4 linked regions of the Schizosaccharomyces pombe genome follow. Changing the gene in region 3 together with the main gene of any one other region gives a genetic interaction. Each region holds a gene or a part of one and is shown on either strand. Other genes may lie near its edges.

The links.
Region 1: of cdc14 (region 3) and zfs1, a mutation in one rescues a mutant of the other (synthetic rescue), as found in Schizosaccharomyces pombe (one study listed by BioGRID).
Region 2: of cdc14 (region 3) and ace2, a mutation in one rescues a mutant of the other (synthetic rescue), as found in Schizosaccharomyces pombe (one study listed by BioGRID).
Region 4: mutations in cdc14 (region 3) and mob1 are lethal when combined (synthetic lethality), as found in Schizosaccharomyces pombe (one study listed by BioGRID).

Annotation. Positions count from the first base shown.
Region 1 is NC_003423.3:3,482,316-3,489,311, reverse strand, and holds zfs1 (zinc finger protein), read left to right. Parts: upstream 1-1,865; 5' UTR 1,866-4,643; coding exon 4,644-5,858; 3' UTR 5,859-6,464; downstream 6,465-6,996. Other genes in the region: dynamin family GTPase Msp1, read right to left, coding at 6,703-6,996. UniProt on the Schizosaccharomyces pombe protein: Binds to specific AU-rich elements (ARE) in the 3'-untranslated region of target mRNAs and promotes their degradation. Binds to ARE present in the arz1 mRNA and stimulates the rate of arz1 mRNA decay.
Region 2 is NC_003424.3:3,238,711-3,242,930, reverse strand, and holds ace2 (DNA-binding transcription factor Ace2), read left to right. Parts: upstream 1-1,777; 5' UTR 1,778-1,963; coding exon 1,964-3,565; 3' UTR 3,566-3,699; downstream 3,700-4,220. Other genes in the region: SPOM_SPAC6G9.01C (uncharacterized protein), read left to right, coding at 599-779, 1,178-1,276, 1,361-1,368. UniProt on the Schizosaccharomyces pombe protein: Regulates the transcription of genes required for cell separation.
Region 3 is NC_003423.3:2,330,499-2,335,558, forward strand, and holds cdc14 (SIN component Cdc14), read left to right. Parts: upstream 1-1,627; 5' UTR 1,628-1,771; coding exon 1,772-2,494; 3' UTR 2,495-2,675; coding exon of another isoform or gene 2,676-3,779; 3' UTR 3,780-4,531; downstream 4,532-5,060. Other genes in the region: gpa1 (G-protein alpha subunit), read left to right, coding at 1-1,063; folliculin bhd1, read right to left, coding at 2,676-3,779; SPOM_SPBC24C6.09C (phosphoketolase family protein), read right to left, coding at 4,764-5,060. UniProt on the Schizosaccharomyces pombe protein: Has a role in the septation initiation network (SIN) required for cytokinesis.
Region 4 is NC_003423.3:468,859-471,964, forward strand, and holds mob1 (Sid2-Mob1 kinase complex regulatory subunit Mob1), read right to left. Parts: upstream 1,306-3,106; 5' UTR 1,268-1,305; coding exon 1,093-1,267; intron 1,036-1,092; coding exon 636-1,035; intron 588-635; coding exon 530-587; downstream 1-529. Other genes in the region: mlg1 (1-acylglycerol-3-phosphate acyltransferase), read left to right, coding at 1,794-2,846. UniProt on the Schizosaccharomyces pombe protein: Has a role in promoting the onset of septum formation during the latter stages of mitosis.

The sequences.
Region 1 (6,996 bases), 1.2 Mb from region 3:
TAGCTTACAGTATAATAAATAACAGATTATTCCGTTACACAACACATTATTGACTAAACTTCCGTATATGAATTGAGTGTACGTTTTCACCATCATCAGTCAGTTCATTCGGTCGATACGCATGTGGCATGAATTTACCAGTTTTACGTGTTTCGTACAATGACAATTTGTGATTGCCGGTTTTGATGAATTCATCATGATACGATGGATTTGCTTCACTAGCAACGCCTATATGTTTAAAATGAAGACACTTAGGTCTAGAAATCTCTGTTTTTCTGTTTTCTGTTAAATCATTTTACCGAGAATAAAGGGGTATGTATGATGGATGGGGTACTTTCAATTCTTTGCTTTTCCTCGACCCACTGTAACCCAAGCAACATGCTAAAGAAAGCGAATCGGCCGTTTTCTCGATTTGAGTAGTATTATCATTGTTATTATAATTTGATATTTTAATATTGTTTTACTAGCAAGATCAACTTCCCTTTGTTCTTTTACATAGCGCAATTCCTCCTAGCTGAACACCTGACCGACCCCTTAACCCCTCCTCGTTCTCCCTTTGCCAAAATAAAAAAAAATAAAAAAAATAAAGAAAATATCAATAAATAATTTAATAAAAATTTTTTTTAAACAAAAATAGTTTTGAAACCCAAAATTAGGTAGACTATCTTTTGTATCATGCCGTAATTCGTATTCTCCGTCGTGTTTGCCAAAATTCAATCATCACTCAGATACTGTCAATAATAGCTTTTATATTTCAAATTATTCATCAATTTCATTTGTACTTTATTCATTTATTCCATTTTTCAACTTTTATTTAGATATCCTTACTCTTGTCTTTTTTACGTTTGTTTATGTCTTTTTGATGGATGGTTCTTGCAACTCGTTTTGCCATCTCCATCTCCCGCTGCTACTCTAAGCAAAAGCATTGCCGATGCATAACAACGCCTTCCGTAATTTTTATTAGTCCTCCGTATGACCACATTTGTCTGTAGTAAAAATGAGCTGTCCAGTCGAGAACTCCAGCTTCGTATGCATGCTTCCGGATCCTATCGTGCTCAAAGACCATCCCGCTATCTTACTTTACAATGTAGATTTGAACACGCCCCAGTGTGGAGGTAAACTTTCTGGGCCTTTTGAGCAATGGTAAGTACGTGTCTTCCGTTCATTATCCCAATCAGCTACAATTTATCGCCAATACTCTCCAATGAATGGAAGAACAATTACCAAACAAACACTGGGGATTGTGCCCACAGTAGATTGCGTGTAGAAGGGATAACAAACATGCTATTGCCATGCATGCATCTACACCAAGGAAATTAGAAAAAAATTTGTTCAAAAACGAAAAACTATTCTTTTTGATAATATGTGTAAAAATAAAATAAAATAAAATAAAATAAAATAAAATAAAATAAAATACCAATACATTTTGTTTCATATAGAATATAGAACTGCTCATAAATTAAAAAATAGCCTGCATCAAAAAAATTTATTCCAATTCCCTCGTCTTTACCTAAAACAACTAATACTGTACTACTTTTTTTAAATCGCATTCCTTTAGAGCACGCACTTTTCGAACCAATACACCGCCATTCTATGCAATGCTTCCCCTTTCCCTATTGTAATTCTACCGATAATTTTATTCTCGGAGTTGTTTTATGACTTTCTAATTTACTTTGTAAATTTTTCTTTTTTTGAAAGCTCCTCCATCTGTCCTTGCTCACGTTTGCCATCTTTCCATTTCAACACTGTAGTGTACTGCGCCACAACATCCGCACTGAGTGTCTTTTGCACATACCACTGATTTTACCGACATTCCCCACTTTTAAACAACTTGTAAGCACAGGGCTTGTTGAGTCCATCAACTTGCTCTTTCGACATCTTCTAGGTCGTTGACTTTACGTAGTATAAAGTGGCATTGATGCTCGAACACAATTAACTAATCTTAACACATTGATAATTGGTTTCTTTGTGTTTTAAACAAAAAAAAATTTCATCTCTTTTGTTGTCCCATATATATATTGATTGCGTGTAACCTTGAAATAACCTCAATTTCTGTACCGGGGTCGTTGCGTATCGAAACACTATTGTTATCGTCCTAGCATATTTGGATACTGTGTACTACACTATTGTCGTGCTCTCTTTTACTTTACTTTACTCACTTTTCCTTCCTTCTTGCCCGACACGACATTGAAACTGCTGGCTTCCTAGCCTTGCTCCTCCTTTTCGACCGGACCTGCTACGTGCTGTAAATTGATTAATCGTATACAATTGTGGTTTTTGACAATTTTCTTTTATTCTGTCGATTTTCTCTTTTTCTCTTATCACGACTTTCTGCTTCTCTTCTACAATATTTTGCTAATCGGCTTGTGTTGTATCAACAGCAAAGCTAAGTGACTTGACATTACTAGAATTCTTCCTTTCCTTCAAAAACACGTGCAAGTTTGTTCCATTTTAATATCTACGTTTCCTTCCTTGATTGCACTATTTCATCATTAGAGGGAACCACTTTTCTATATTACCAAGCACCTACTTATTTGGGATTTATTTATTTTTATTTCCTACGGCTAACTCGATTACGATTAGTGCGCGGCTTTTTCTCTTTGGAAAAATTTTTCTTGTTGGAACGGTTGTCAATCGCGTGCTATATTGCTTTCCTTCTTACCCGTTTACAATTTAGCTTTCCCTTTTCTCCTTTTGCAATTTTTTTTGGGTTTTTTTTAAAACGTACACACGCACTGTGTATTCCATCTAGCCATCAATCCTTCATTTTTTTTCCACCGATTAATCCTTTTCTATATATACCGGAATTTTCCGTCTTTTCTTTTTCGGACACTTTTACGAGCTGTTGCGAATTTCGTTATTCTTAGTTTGTGTTATTTGCTTTTAGCCGCCCTTTTTCTTCTTCTCTGCATCAACATAACAGGTCAGGGACCAGACAGGACAGGACGAAACAACAACGTAATCGTTCAACCAACTTCTATTACCATCGACCTCTAACTTACCGACTTACCACCACAACACTTTCCTCCAGAATAGTTGAAAGCCTTTTGACTTTGCTGAATCTTTCTTTGTGTGTCCGTGTGTGTGTCTGTTTTTTTCAAATTCATCACTGTTTGAATATCGGCATCTCATCCTTTTTCTCAATTTCTCAATTTCTTGCCTGAGATACCGTTTGTTCTTTCCGTTGAATACTTTTTTTCTGCAGTGTGAAAAAATTCCGTTTTACGTTGACAAAACATTTATCTCGGATTGAAAGTTGTTTTCGTAGCTGTTTGTTTTAGTCTATTCCTTTCAACCGGTTTTCTTGTCTCTGTTAGATTTGTTTTCTCTTCTTCATTCTGAGTCAAGCTCTGGGTTTTTTTCTTTGTTGGAAAACCATTCTCTTTTCAATTTTATTTCTCTTTTCTGATATCGAAGCAAAAGAGCTCCTAAACGCTCTCAATTACTGTTTAACGTAACAGATATATTAACATCTTAGTATATTTGCGTTTTATTTGTTGAAACTTTCGCATATCCCCTTAAAGCTTTTTGTGGCAATCCTTATCTGATATTGATTTATTCTTTTGATTCGCCATTTCTTTCGACGTTTTTAAAGTACTCTAAAAGAGAAATTATTTAAAATACTTTAAATTGGGCTCTGTTCTTTTCTCCATCCCACTTTTGTATCTTTGCAGCAATAGTCGGTTTGGTTGATAATCCCTATATTTCTTTGGACAAGATATTATCTTTTGCTGAAAAAACACCCCATCTTTCGATTTTGAAATTTTTTTTTCTGTTTCAATTTCTTATTTCTTTCTACTGATTACTCTCCTCATCAATTCTCACTCTTTTTTCATTTCAAATCTCGCTTTTATCCTATATCAGTGATAAAACTCCTGTTTGATGCTCACCTTGCACATTGGCACTAACTTTAACGTTTTCCCTTTATATCCGCAAATTCCCTTTTTTTTGTGCTTCGTATATTAAAAGCGTTCCCTTATTAGGTTTTTTTATACATTAAGGATTTACGATTAGTCTCATTTTGTTGTGTTTTGAGATTTGTGTTTTATGTTCATCTGTTGTATTCACTTACTTCAGAGAAAAAAAAGGCGTTTTTGTTCTTTTGGTTTAAATTTTATTCCCTAAAATTTGCATTCAACTCGGATTTTTTCTTTGTTTGACGACTGTTTTTTGAAAAGGATTGCTTTGGGTCACAAACACAATACATCCATCTATTAAACTTTTGTCTTCTATACTTTTACTTCCTTCTCAAAATCTTTCCTTATATCATTGTGTGGTTTCTCTCCGTTTTCTTGTATCTTTTCTGTTCGACTTCTGAAAAAACAGCGTCTCTATACTATTGATTTTCATCTTAAATTTGCGTGTTTTCTTTTTAACTCTACGTTTCTCTCGTTTTTCTGCATATTACTTTCGGTGATTACCCTGTAATTCTATTTTGAAGGTTGACGTTTTTTTCAAGTTCCTGATTCCATAATTCTATTTAACACAAGTTTTTTACTGGAATTTTTTAAGTTATTCTGCGCAACCTTTTTTTGATTCATTTTACAACTTCTTTGTTCGTTTATAACTAATCTTCTATTGTATCACTTTTTTCTAGTGAACTTCATTAATTTATTGCGTGTCTGTTTTTTATTCTTTTAACCATGGTTTATTCTCCTATGTCTCGACCTCAAGTACCTCTGGCTTTTCGCCAATGGCCCCCCTACAATTATAAGAGTGATCCCCTTGTCAACTCAAAACTATCTCAGTCTACTACGTCTGTTAATGCAGGACCCAGTTTAATAAGTCCATCATTCCTTGACTCCTACGCCAACTCCTCATCTTTACTTCACAAGCCATCTACAAATTTGGGCAGTTTAAAGACATCTAGTCTTCTCGCCTCTGATGAAGTTTTCCCTTCTTCAGTCATGCCCCAGCTTCGTCCATTGGATTCAAGTTTATCTGTTTCTCCTGAAATGGACGGTTGGCCATGGCATCACAATTCTTCTTCTAACCCACAGGGATACGCATGGACACCTTCATTACTTTCTTCCAACGCTACTAGCTATTTACATTCTGGTAGTTCTCCTCATGGAAACACAAGCAATCATCCTTCACCTATATCATCCTTGGAGAGTCTTCCTTCTCGTAGTAGCACTGGTAGTGGTAGTCTTGATTTTTCCGGCCTTGCCAATCTCCACGATGATTCCAAATCACTGGCCATGTCTTTGAACATGGCTGGCGTCCCTGTATCCGTCGATGAGAACTCTCAAACTTCGTTTCCTTTTGTTCATGGTCAACCGGAATCTACCATGTCTAGAAAACCTAAGCTGTGCGTTCAATCGAAATCAATGACAAACATCCGCAACTCTGTTGCTAAACCGTCGTTAGTTAGACAATCGCATTCAGCGGGGGTTATTCCCATCAAGCCTACAGCATCGAATGCCTCAATTCGCAATGCTCCTTCCAATTTATCAAAGCAATTTTCACCTTCGGGTAATAGTCCTCTTACTGAGGCTTCCAAACCTTTCGTTCCTCAACCATCAGCTGCAGGAGATTTTCGCCAAGCTAAGGGTTCAGCTAGCCATCCTCATGGTTCTGGCAGTAGTAATGGGGTAGCTCCCAACGGCAAGCGCGCATTATATAAGACCGAGCCTTGCAAGAATTGGCAAATTAGTGGAACTTGCCGTTATGGCTCTAAATGTCAATTTGCGCATGGCAACCAGGAACTGAAAGAACCTCCTCGTCACCCAAAATACAAAAGCGAGCGTTGCCGATCTTTCATGATGTATGGTTATTGTCCTTACGGATTGCGATGCTGCTTTTTGCATGATGAATCCAATGCTCAAAAAAGTGCAACTATTAAGCAATCTCCTTGATATCACATCAGCTTGTATAAGATGACTTTTGTTCTTTGTTGTTATGCAATCTGGGTGAGATTAATTTATTATGACGCTTACTTTCCTATCCTCCTTGGTTTTCTTATACGGTTATTATTTATATTGTTCTTCTGTAACATTATGTGAGCTTTTCTTTTGCAATCGCCTTTACCTTGTTTTTATTTATGGTTTTATCGCAAGGTTTGAGTTTGCCAGTCATGTTCACACTTTATTCTTTATTTATTTGATGACCTTATTGGTCAAGATAGAATTTATAAGAGAAAAAAATTAAAGAAGATCATGAGTTAGTTACTCTGTCATATGTCAGGGTACTGTTTTTATTTTTGCAAATCATGTACCTTTAGCTTTTTGCAGAATGGCGATTTAAAGAGTTATGAGAAGATTGGACAATATATATTTATAGTATTAAATTCGAATCTTGTTTACTTCGTCTAGCAATGCGATACGCATGAATCGGGGTTTTATTAGATTTGTGTGGTATCTGTAATATACTGTTATAATTCGAATCAAGGGAGTTTCTTAAAATACCCAATCTTATTACGAAAATGATTTATGCAATCAGGGAGATTTGATGAGCGAAGCCTATGTATTATTTGAATAACAGTAACGTTACTGCAAAAATTTAAGTAGTTATTTGAATGTTGTGCACTTTTCATAAACATAGATTTGCAATATGCATCAAAAATTTGTAACGCAATTCTGTACTGCTTACAAACAATTTTATTCACGAGAAAACTACCAGGCTATACATAGTAACACATACAAGCATTTTTGGAAAGTTAGTTAAAAAAATTCATTAAACTCGGACTACTTTACTCGTTATTTAATCGCTATCGGCTTGCTGTTCCAAGATAACTAATGAATTGATCTTCTGCAGAGCCAATTCCAAACATTGCCGCTTATGCTGCAACTGTAGCTGTGACTTGAGACGAGGATTTTCATTGACAAATGCATTCAACTGTTCAGAACTCAAAGAATGGATGAGACGCTGATCCAGTTCACGTGGAAATTGGTAATAAAACTCAGAAAGCAGCTCAATATTAATAAATAAAACTGCGGTATTAACCAGTTTATCAGAAACGGCATTTAAAAAAATTTCAGGACAGGTGTACTTCGC
Region 2 (4,220 bases), on a different chromosome or scaffold from region 3:
TGAAAAAGAATTGACAGAGGTTTTGAGCTGATTTTCATTGTCAAATAGTATTCACTTTATTTTTATCTTATGCTTAATTACTAAAGTATTTCGTTTATTAAGCAATGAGATTTTGCATTTGTTAATTTGATACAGCAATAATTCGCTTCTTAAATGAAGACAAAAAGTGTTAATTTATGGTATTAGGATAGAGTTGACCTAAATATGCTTTTATAAAGAAAGCTTGGCCAAAGAATTGTCTACATTTTATTGCCGTTTCGAAATACCGATGACAGAGGTGATACAGCTTCTAAACAAAATTAAACAATTTTAAACATAATAAAGAACCAAAGGAAAAAAAAGGAATCGATCAATCTCATGCCTTAATGCTGGTACAAGTTTCTTCTGAAGAATCATTCTTATAAATATTACAAATTCTTTACCGTAATACGAGAGAATACGTTATGCAGATTTAAGCATTTTAGAGAATTCTTATTTTATGAAGCACGGTACCGCAAAAGAATTTCTAGCAAGTTTGCAAGCTACAACAAACTGTCTCTCTACTCAATTATACAATTGCCATTGACTTGGCAAACTCCTCTCTACGAGTATTTAAAAGATGGAAATCGACGACATTTTTGCTTCTAAAAAGGCAAACCCTGCAAATGAAAAGTCAAATGACTCAAAGTCGGAGGCGAAAGCCCCTAAGAAAGGAGCCAAGACAAAATCTACTCCAAGTCGTCCAAAACCTACTAATAACCAAGACGATTTATTTTTAGATCCAAAGGGAGCCTCAGGAAGTAAGACACTTTTTGCCGTTTGATAGTTCATCCTTACATACGTTCTCGCTACTTGGTTAATGATTGCATTCGTTCATGTTTGGCATCCGCGTTGTTTGTCAATTCTTTGACCTCAAATTCATATTTATTGTCTAAAAGATTGAGAAACTTCGAACTGTGCTATATACTTATTTATTTATTATATACTGCTAGAGCTAGATTACGTTTTTCTAGGGAGATACATTTCACAATGATGTTTAGTGTTGGTGGAGACTCCAAATCATTAAGCTCTATTGTGTGGTATTGAACCTTATTCGCTATTCTGTTTACGGGAATGTTTGCCGAACGATGCAATACTTACCTAGCAACGGCACTTTTCTCCTTATCATCAGTAATTGTATTAACGTTTTGTGTTTTAGGAAAGCGTACCGAGGAAGGGTTTCTTGTATATGACGAGGAGGAATTAAACATTGGCCAAGGTGGAGGTACACCGGATTGCCCTTTTGATTGTCAGTGTTGTAAGTAACTTATTCATTGCATTTAAAAACTTTTCCATGGCATTTTTTCTCTTGCTAGCTCTATACTAATACTAATACCTTAAGGTTTTTGATCTCAACGTCGTTGTCGTTTTTTCAGGTTGGTTACCGTTTTTTTTTGGCTTGTCATACTTAATCTATGTTTTCTAATATCATCCATGATCCAGTTGTTGAAGCGTAGACATTTTCATAGCCGTGATTATCCTGTTTATTAGTGGTAGTGTCTTTCAATCAAACCTTTTACTGGTTTAATTCAAAAAATAGTTGATTTGTCCCTTTGGCAACAAAAGGTAAATAAACAATCCCTGGGTCTGTGTTTACACTTGTATTGCGTTGTTGTGATATGGTTCGGTAATCCATGCAATGTAAACAAATAGTGACTTGTTTTGCGGTAAAGTGAAGCATAAAATTCAACAATTGTCGTCATAGCAACGGAGTAGCTATTTGATATAAACAAATAGCCAGCGCACCAAACATTGCTGTAACAAACAAAAAAAAATCGAAGAGTGATTAGTTCAATCATCTACTGGGTTAGACTGGCTTTGAGCCACACTTTCATCTCACTTCAAGTTATCAAGCACTCTTTTCAAGAGTCATTTCTCTCATCGTTCTCTCCTTGATTTCTCTACGCATTGCACTAGATACTCGCTATCCTAAGTAAACAAGACAATGTCGCTTTCATATTTATCATCTTCTTCGCAAAAGTCGTTTGAATCATTTCGACAAGAAGAGAGTCCAGCTTGTAATCATTCGTACCAAAGGGATTATGAAACTTTTGGCGATAGCAAGCATACTTCTTTTTCCTCCTTCGCTCCCTTTGAAAATGAGGTGTCTTTAAATCAAGCTGTTATCCCTTCACCGCCTTCTCATCTTCAGAACTTTCAAGATCAGTTTGACTATAGTTCTGTTCTAAAAACACCGTTTAACCCTTTGTTGGAAGCGAATTCTGCATACTTTTTATCGAACCAAATATCGCTCCCCGACTCTCACTCGTATGCATCCTCCTTTGATGCTTCCTTATCACCCCCTTCCTCGCCTTTAACTTGCGTATCACAAATCCATACCGAGCAAAATTTTAATAACAATGACGCATTTTCCTTGACCAACTCTCAACAGGCCTTTTCCGAAATTGGTTATGATGCATCAAATTGGATTGATGAGCTGGACTCTCAACAACAAGTCCTTTCGTTTCCTGAGTTTGACATACCAGAAATAAAGACGGAAACTTGCTCCAACAAAGATCACCTCGAAAATTTCGACTACCTTTCCTCAAGTATACCTGAAACCTCGGGTCCTGCCTCTTCCGTTCTTCCCAGCTCTTCGCAATTGGAATCATTTAATGAGTTTATGTTCCTCCCATCCTCTCCCCCTGGATTAGATGAGATAAACGGTGCGCCTTCATTTGAAGAATTGAACTTTCAAATATCCCAACCAAGTCCGGCACATCCTGTAGACTTATCGAGTCCAGAGACTGCACCTAATATCTCCCCTGTATCCCCATTTGCCCAACTTGTAAAGCTAGAGCCCACTTCGCCTCAAAAGCCCTCCTTTGCTCTAGATTCTTCGTTTTCCCATTTGGATGTATGCAGGCATACTGACAACCAGAAAGCGTTTGCAAAGTTATCATCACCTGCTGAATACGTTTCTGAATTTGAAAAATTCTCATCCGTTTGCGATCATGGACTTGACATATCGAACGCAAATATCAACAACACTTTGACACAGCAGTTTGCATTAAGTGCACCTTATGAATCTTGCATAGTTACCAAGAAACCTGAACCTTGTATCACTGTCAAGGAAGAAGAACAATTAGCTCCAAAAATTGAATCTGCTGATTTATCAATTACTCCTCAAGTCACCGAGCATGATTCCAAACCTCCGGTCAGAATTTCATACGATCATAGATGCAAAACTCGCAAGCAATCAACTAGGATTTGTAGAATTCCTCCGGAGACAATGGCTAGCTTATATTGCGGCCCTGAAGCAGATGGAAAGTACGTCTGTTTGTACAACGGGTGCAATAAACGTATTGCTCGCAAATATAATGTTGAATCGCATATTCAAACACATCTGAGCGACCGTCCGTATCGCTGTGACTTATGCAAAGCTGGCTTTGTTCGTCACCACGATCTTAAGCGTCATCTGAGGATTCACGAAAATGGCAGGCCATATGTATGTGAATGCTTAAAGAGATTTAACCGACTTGATGCCTTAAATCGGCATAAGCAGAGAAATATATGTGTTGGCGGCGTAGATCGCAGACAGCACTAATGATGACAGCTGTACAACTTGCATCGCATTGCATTATAATGAGTTATGTTTGGTTTTTTTTTGGGATTTTTTAATTTTACTAATATTATTGTTTTTAATTTGCTTTTATATAAATTCAAATTCAAGCATCGTACATGAACTAATGCTGTGACAATTTTGATAATTTATCAACTTGTATCTGTCTTTTGTATATTTATTCATCACCCTAGTATTGTGTATAACTCTGCATCATCTAAAATCTACAGATTAATCTTTGTGAAATGGAAATACAACTATGAAGTTGTTCGTATCGTTGAACGGCTGAAATGGTAAAACTAGTTTCCCCAAACCTGACAAACAACTTGGATACATGAGTAAGAATTAGTGTTTGCTTTCACTCGCACCGATGTTTAGTCAACATATGTTTAAGTTGGTATTTCTAGGGAAAACTTGTATTTAATTACTATAGTATGCGAAGTATTTCATTGGAAAACAGTGGTTGTAGTATGCTGCCAAGCAAGCATTTATTATGATAATAATAATTCAACAAATTAATCACTATGACTTAAACAGAGAAACCAATGATTGTTTTAACTATTATTGCTGGTCATTGGAGGAAATTTTGTCGGCAAGAGAAAAGATAATTCATTTCTATTTGCAAAGAACCAAAAAATAC
Region 3 (5,060 bases):
ACAAAATGTGGAAAGTTCTGGAGTACGCGTAAAAGGAAATTCTACTTCAGGTGGAAATGACATTAAAGTTTTGCTCTTAGGCGCCGGTGATAGTGGGAAAACGACCATTATGAAGCAGATGAGATTATTGTATAGCCCCGGTTTTAGTCAAGTAGTTAGAAAGCAGTATCGAGTGATGATTTTTGAAAATATCATCTCCTCTCTATGTCTTCTTCTTGAAGCTATGGATAATAGTAATGTCTCTTTACTTCCGGAAAATGAGAAGTATCGGGCAGTTATCCTAAGAAAACACACTTCTCAACCCAATGAGCCATTTTCTCCAGAAATATATGAAGCTGTTCATGCCTTGACATTGGATACCAAACTTCGTACGGTGCAAAGTTGTGGTACCAACCTCTCTTTGTTAGACAATTTTTATTACTATCAAGATCACATTGATCGAATTTTTGACCCACAATATATACCTTCTGATCAAGATATCCTTCACTGTCGTATCAAGACGACCGGTATATCAGAAGAAACATTTCTGTTAAATCGTCATCATTACCGATTTTTTGATGTAGGAGGACAGAGATCAGAGCGCAGAAAATGGATTCATTGCTTTGAAAATGTCACTGCATTGTTGTTTCTCGTTTCTTTGGCAGGTTACGATCAATGCCTTGTAGAGGACAATTCAGGAAATCAGATGCAGGAGGCGTTATTATTATGGGATTCCATATGTAACTCTAGCTGGTTTTCAGAATCAGCAATGATACTTTTTCTAAATAAACTTGATTTATTTAAAAGAAAGGTTCACATTTCCCCCATCCAGAAGCATTTTCCTGATTACCAAGAAGTTGGTTCAACACCAACATTCGTACAAACTCAATGCCCTCTTGCCGACAACGCAGTTCGAAGCGGTATGTATTACTTTTACTTAAAGTTTGAAAGTCTTAATCGCATCGCTTCTCGTAGTTGCTATTGCCATTTTACCACAGCTACAGACACTAGTTTGCTCCAAAGGGTAATGGTATCCGTTCAAGATACGATTATGTCCAACAATCTACAGTCACTTATGTTTTAGATGAATTTTTCCTTAACTATCTTCATAATCTTTTCTGTCTCATTTCTCTACTTTCATTCGCACTCTAGGAAAAGCCTCTATACTTTTCCGTGAATGGTGTCTCTAGTTAATTTCCTTGCATTTTGTATGCACTTCATGTGTTATTTCTCCATCGAAACTGTTAATTAGTGCATTCTAATTGTTTTATTTCATAGCTTCTTCGAAGCTTCGTGTAATCTTATATTGTTTTAAATAGCTCAAAATTAACTGCAGTTTTTGTTATTTGATAATTTTACGATTAATACATAACTATTGTTTAATTTAATATCTAAATTTTTTCATGTCAACCGTTTGAGACAAACTAAACCCATTGATATTAATATAATTAAATTAGGCGGATTTGATCGTAAACTAAATATAAATCTATAAGGACTCGATGTTGCTTGTTTTGTTATTTTAGGCCCCTTTTTCAAATATGGCTCCAATTCGCCTGTTAATATTCAATTGTATCCTATCTTAGCAAGCTGGTGTTTTCTCTCCCAAAACCTCAAGTTTTAGAAAATAGCAATTTAATGTAGCTGCTTCAACACTCCACCCTACTATTTATATCATTACTAAGAACGAATATAGAGTCTCTTTTTTATCTTTAACTAAACGAAGATTCAATTTACTTTTATTTATAATAAGGATTTTTATTGCCCGCTTGGCATGAGTAAATAATGATCCGGTATGGAAGATCTATTAAACAATGCTAAACAGCATTTGTGTATGAGGAATCCAAAGCTAATTCGAATTGGTTTGCGTCAAGTCGAATCTATTGTATATCATGTTGCGAAACCTAGTCATGATGATAAAATTCCAAGAGAAATTTTCCTAAAATTACAGGATTCACCATTGTATAATTCTACTACCCCTTGCATTTACGCTTTGGACAGTCTCCTTGAATATCAGCAGAATGAAGAGGCATACGAAAAAAACTTTCAATTCATTCAAAAGCTAATTGATGACTTACTGCATGTGATTGAAGGATTGGTTTTAATCCATCCAAAATCACAGACGTTATTTGAAGATAAAGCTACCTTAAGGTTATTTATTCATTTATTACAGCCATCTCAGCCATCTATGTTGCAAGTGGCTGCAATGAAAACGCTTGTATGTATCATGGCAGATCGTCCACTGGCTATTAGGCTTTTTGAGCAGATTAATGGCTTGCAGCAGATATGCGTAGTTTTTAAGCACAAACAAACAAGTCAGGACACCCGATTTCAAATTCTCGAATTTTTCTATTTCTATTTATCCCCTGAACCATATTCTATAGATGTCATTGCCTACAGGAAAACGCGGACTGAGAAACAAGCTTACCTATCCAAATATCTTTCTAACGTACAAGGGCTTCGAGATGATTTAGATAAGTTTCAACCATTTGGCAAGTTAGACGAAACATTCGACTAGTTAGATGCAATGCCTGGTGCAAAAAAATGTTTAAAGTCTCATTGTTAACTTATTTTTGAAAATTTAGTATTCATTTACTAAAGAATTTCTAATGTTAATGTTAAATTATTAATCGATCATCTTACTATTGAAAGTATTCCAGCATCCTATAGCATTTGTAAAAAGTCAACCAGTTTTACTTTCATACTACTAAGAGATCCCAAACCTCCAGAATCCAGCTAAACGAACTGTGAAGACCGACAAAGATTCCGTCCCAACATGTGATATCAACTAAACTGCGTCCCTCCCCAATATCGTCTCGACGACGCAAAAAACTGAAAGAAGGAAGTCTTTGTGTGTGGGCCAAAGATGACACATTTGCACCGATACTAGAGGATATCTCATACGAAGGAGCAGTTCCTATATTTGAAGAACCCGATAACGAAGAAATGTTAAAACTGGGGGATGCAAACGTTCCATTGCTAGAGGAGGCTGTTGTTTTTGAACGGGAGGAGGAGTAGTCATTCTTTGTATTGAAAGAAGAAATCCTTAGAAACTGGACTATATGAAGAAACTTTTCAGAAATAAAACTATATCGCAAAATCAAATCTAACTGATTTGGACAAGTAGCAATAATCGCATATCTTCGAAGTCCTCCCCGGGCAGAGGGATCTCTTAAAGAAAAAGACTGACTAATAACGTAACCGTTATCTTGGTCTCCAAAGAACAAAGGATTTGACATAGAATCGGAAGCTTCAGATAGTGTTGAATATTCACAGCTCAAGCAGCGAACCATTAATCGCTTAAGGGTAGAATATCGTTGCTGAGTATGTGGATGTTGACTAGACATGTATAAAACATCGGGGTTTGTACTTGAGTTTGTATAAAGTCGTGGTTGAACATCAGGTACAGAGAATTCAAGGGGTAAAACAGTACTACATGTAACACAAGATGATTTTCTCGAAATAGGGCTTTGATTTCGAGAGTATGAGTTATGAAATGAGTTTACTCGGGGGGATTCTGGTCCTTTCGATACCTTTTTACATAAATAATCTTCAGAATCAGCTTTGAAAAGTGATTCGGTAGAACTTTGTAAAGATTGAGAATCGGCATTGTTTCGATTATCGAGTTCATTTTTGAAGGCTTCTGGTGAATCATTACCATTCTCCGTTACGCCAATAGAGCGCTTAGATGTAGGATGCTCAAAAAATTTTGAAACGGTAGAGCGATGCAATTTTTGAGTGCAAAAAATAATGGAAGGCCCCTCGGCCTCACAGAAATGTCCAAGAGCAAAAACAACATCCATTATGACTATTATGGAAATTTGGTGAGATAAAAGTGTTTAGTTGACAAAGGCGATCTGAAAGCAAATGTTTAGAAAGCGACAATGAACTTGAAAAGTTTTGATGGTGTATAATAGCTTCTAAATAATGCCTTCAAATCTAATGATTAATAAGGTGATACGTTTTAAAGTCGATAAAATGTAAGATGTGCATTCGTTCGAAAACAACCTTTTGTACTTTACCGATTTACCAAGCAAACATTCAGTTATACTGAGGTATTTCGAAAAGATTGAGGATTAGAAAAAAAATGGATTAAAGAGCTTGAAACGCTCCAGATACTGAAATTGATATGAAAATTCCTGATAAATTAGAGGATATATGTGTGCGTCTTCATCTCACACAGTACCAAAATATAATAAACACACTAGAATCTGTCCAGTTTACATTAAAAGAATTAAAAAAAAAGTTTTTCTGTTTGGAAAAAGCGGTTGATTTTCTCACTTCAAGGAATAGAATGTTCAGAAGTTTATACCAAGTTCCACATTTCCGATATTGTAGGGGAATGCTGAAGAGTCGCAAATGAGGGAATTTACGAAAAGCTAGTAATTAAGAAACTTCAAAAATGAAAACGACCTTCATAGAAAACAAGTAAAAATGCGAGTGCGTTGAGAGGGGGAGGAAGAGGTTAAAAACTGACGAGCTACAAAAAAGCGTAAGGTATCAATTAGTGCCTCTACTGTTTCGATTACTAAATACAGCCACAAACTATTGATAGTAATGTATATAAGAATTGGTATATTAAATCGTGTAAAACACAATTGCAATATGCGCGCGACCGGGCAAATCCAAGTCAGCTAGCTACCTAAGTGATACCACCAACCAATGTTTGGGTACACCCCAACACTACAAGATATGCTAACGTTTTAATTAACACAAAAACAGATGTAATTTTATTTAAATTCTGTAGAATTATCATTATATAAACAAAAAGAATGCACCATTTCTATCTATAATGTGGAAGTCTTATTTTTAAAGACAGGAGCAGCATAAATTTCAGGAGGATCATCCTTGTTTTCCATAATATAATTTTCAATCTCTTCGAGCTTCCAAGCATATTTGGCACACAACATGTTACAATTAACGGCCACGGTAGGATTGTGTAAAGCATGTTGCAAAGCCATTCTTGCAACATGATAACGAGAGGTATTGTTACACATCATCATATTAAAAGGAGTGGTAGTAGTACCTTCCTCTCGATAGCCCTCCATAGTGACCCGTGTACCTTGTATGCGATCAAACAAGAG
Region 4 (3,106 bases), 1.9 Mb from region 3:
ATAAGATGAAAAGCAAAAAGACTAAAATAATAGGGAATTAAAAAGTTCAGATTATTTCGCACATTTACTATCTCACATCCACCACCATTCAGTAAGTAGTTTCTCAAATAACGATGCAGTCTTTTTCGGTATTTAACAGAAACCTGAAATAAAGATTCCAGAGACATATGATACATGAAATGTTATAAATAAAATGAATTGTATGAAGATAGACACTTTAGAGAATGCGAGAATATTTTGCACAAGTAGCCTATGCAAAGGCGATATGCCACACTTTTCAAAAGTAGTTAAAAGAATGCAGTGTCATAAGAAAAAAGTGGAGGAGTAGAAAGAGTAATTTTAGCAACTATTCTTTATGGTAATCACTCAAGTGAATGATTGAAATGAAAAGAAGAAATTTTCCATAAAAAATTGTGCTAAGGTCTGGATAAAATGGTAATGGTAGGGATAAAATAAAACATTAAATTGGTAAGTTTGGGAACCGAGTTTACCTCCCATTTCCTGTTCCTGAATAACTACAAAACTGTTCTTAAACCATGCTATCTACCAAGTCTTGCATTGGTGCATATTCCTTGTTATCCATAAGGCTGAAATTTGTTGTTAACATCTTTAAGTAAGTAAATTGAAACACATACCCAAATTCCCTACAGAAAAATACAAAGTGTTTAAATGATGTATTCAGATAGCTTTCAAGCTCCATTGCTACCATTACGTGAAAGTGGGAACAGTAAATATGAGCATAAATGCGAAACAACCTTCGAAATATTTGCTGAATCACTTTGCGAAAATTCTTTGGGAATTCAACACCAATCTCAGTGGGGAAGAGCTTCTTGTCATCCAACTTTTCTTGAGTCCAATCCAACAGATTGTTAATATAGTCGGGAGCACTCATGCGAGTGGGTTTGGTGTATATTTTATCATCCTGCCAGTAATATTCATAACTTGGTCCAGCATTCATTTGAGGACAGGAAGCCGCCGTACAAAATTCAGTGATTGTACCATACAACATATTAATTTGTGTATAAAAATCCATTGCTAGAAGTATTCAATTAATAAAAGTTCTTGAAGTGTCAATTTTATATCTTAGCTTACTGTTCATAGCAATCCATTCATTCAAATCTTCTCCCTTGGGCAGTTTTACTGCTTCCATCAAAGAGCCAGATCCCAGCGTTGCTTCAGCATATTGCCGTAGTTGATAATGCTTCGTTCCCGCTTCAGTCTTCCTTACACGGAATGTCTTCGCTGTCTTATTACTAAATCCAAACATGAAAGAAAATGCAAAAAAGTTGGTATGAGTTGGGTTCTGGTAGGCTTGGTTTGTGCCAACCTTCCACTCATCGTCCCTTCCTCGTAAACAAACGTGGTCATTCTACCGTTCAACTTTCAAGACCATCCAGCCAACCAATATTAAGCGCAAATTAATTACTGGAATACCTATCATATTCATACGACCGTATGTTTAGGTCCGAGCACTTTTACAAATTGACAACGTACGATCGCTACTTCTTTACCCACTGCCTATAACCACTGACATTCCCTGAATTACACTTTGGTGCTAAACGTGCGGCTAAGAAATTAAAAAGAAAGCAGAGAGCTTTTAATTTTCTTTTTGGGATTTTTTTTGCTCAAATTGGTGTCTATTTAGTGTTCGTGTACGACTTTTACTGTGCGGTGAGAAACGCGAAAGGGCATCACTAAAACCGACTTTGCTAACTTTCTCTGGATTCTATTTAACAGTCTTTTATTTCTTGAGATTTGATTTAGGTTCCTTTAATTCATTTAGGTTTGACAACATGACATGCAGAATTGCGATTCGCAAGTATTCATTCATATTATGTTTGGCTGTTGGTTCAGTTACCATTTATACCTCGGAAGTTATTGGAACTCCTCTGTATTTTGTCAACAAGGAGCTTTATAACAAATATATTGCTTTTACAAAATCATTCGCCGGTATTCTGTTTACCGCTTTGGTCCAGCTTTTTAGTCCGACTCCTGTAACTCTCACCTATGATCCCGAGCTTCGAAATTTGTTTTATTTGGATAGAAATGGTTGCTTGGAAACAATTGCTGCTGAACGCAACATAGTTATCGCAAACCATCAACTTTACTCGGACTGGATGTACGTTTGGTGGTTATCGTACACTGCTAAACAGCATGGTCATGTTTATATTATGTTAAAAAACTCTCTCAAATGGTTGCCAGTTATAGGTTGGGGTATGCAATTGTTTAGATTCATTTTCCTTTCTCGCAAATGGGACAAAGACTACGAGACTATGTCTCGTCATTTCAAGTTCATTCGCAATGTACGTGATTCCGTCAGTCTCATTCTCTTCCCAGAAGGAACCAACTTGGTTGAAAGCACATATCAAAGGAGCAGGGTGTATGCCGATAAAATTGGAGTCAAAATGCCAAAGCATTTAATGCTCCCACGTGTGCGAGGGCTCTTTTATAGTATCAGTCAGCTTCGTGATTCGATGACTTATTTGTACGATTACACATTTTATTTTTCTGATCCCTCTCCTAAGAAATATGCCGCCGATGCTTTCTCTTTACCTAAGCTCTTTTTTGAAGGAGTCCCCATCAAAAGGCTTCATATTCACGTTCGTCGCTTCCCAATTTCGGAAATTCCCACTGAAGAAGATCAGTTTACGGATTGGCTTTATCAAAGATGGTATGAGAAAGATAAACTTATCGATACGCTTCTTGAAACAGGGAATTTTCCGGGCCCTAAGAAATTGCATACGACTGTTCGATTGAAGCACAGACTTGAAATTCTTTCTTTGTTTTCCGTACTTTTCACGTGCATTGTTGCTGGGTTGTTCCTCAAACTATTCATTTCTCACTAGAAAAAACTGTTATTTATACCCATTTCTTTCCATTTCCCTAAACCATATGGTTGAAAAGTTACCCATTTACACTACATAGATTAACTGATTTTCATGAACATTTTTTAACAGATTGCAAACTGGATTTTCAGTGTTAAGGAATTACCGCATACATTGCGGACGATAGTTTTATAGTCATTAGCTTTCTCTTGAGCTTTGAGATTTCGAGATAAATTATTCTGTACACTTTTTCTCCTTACAACCATCCTCTTTGCCTGTAG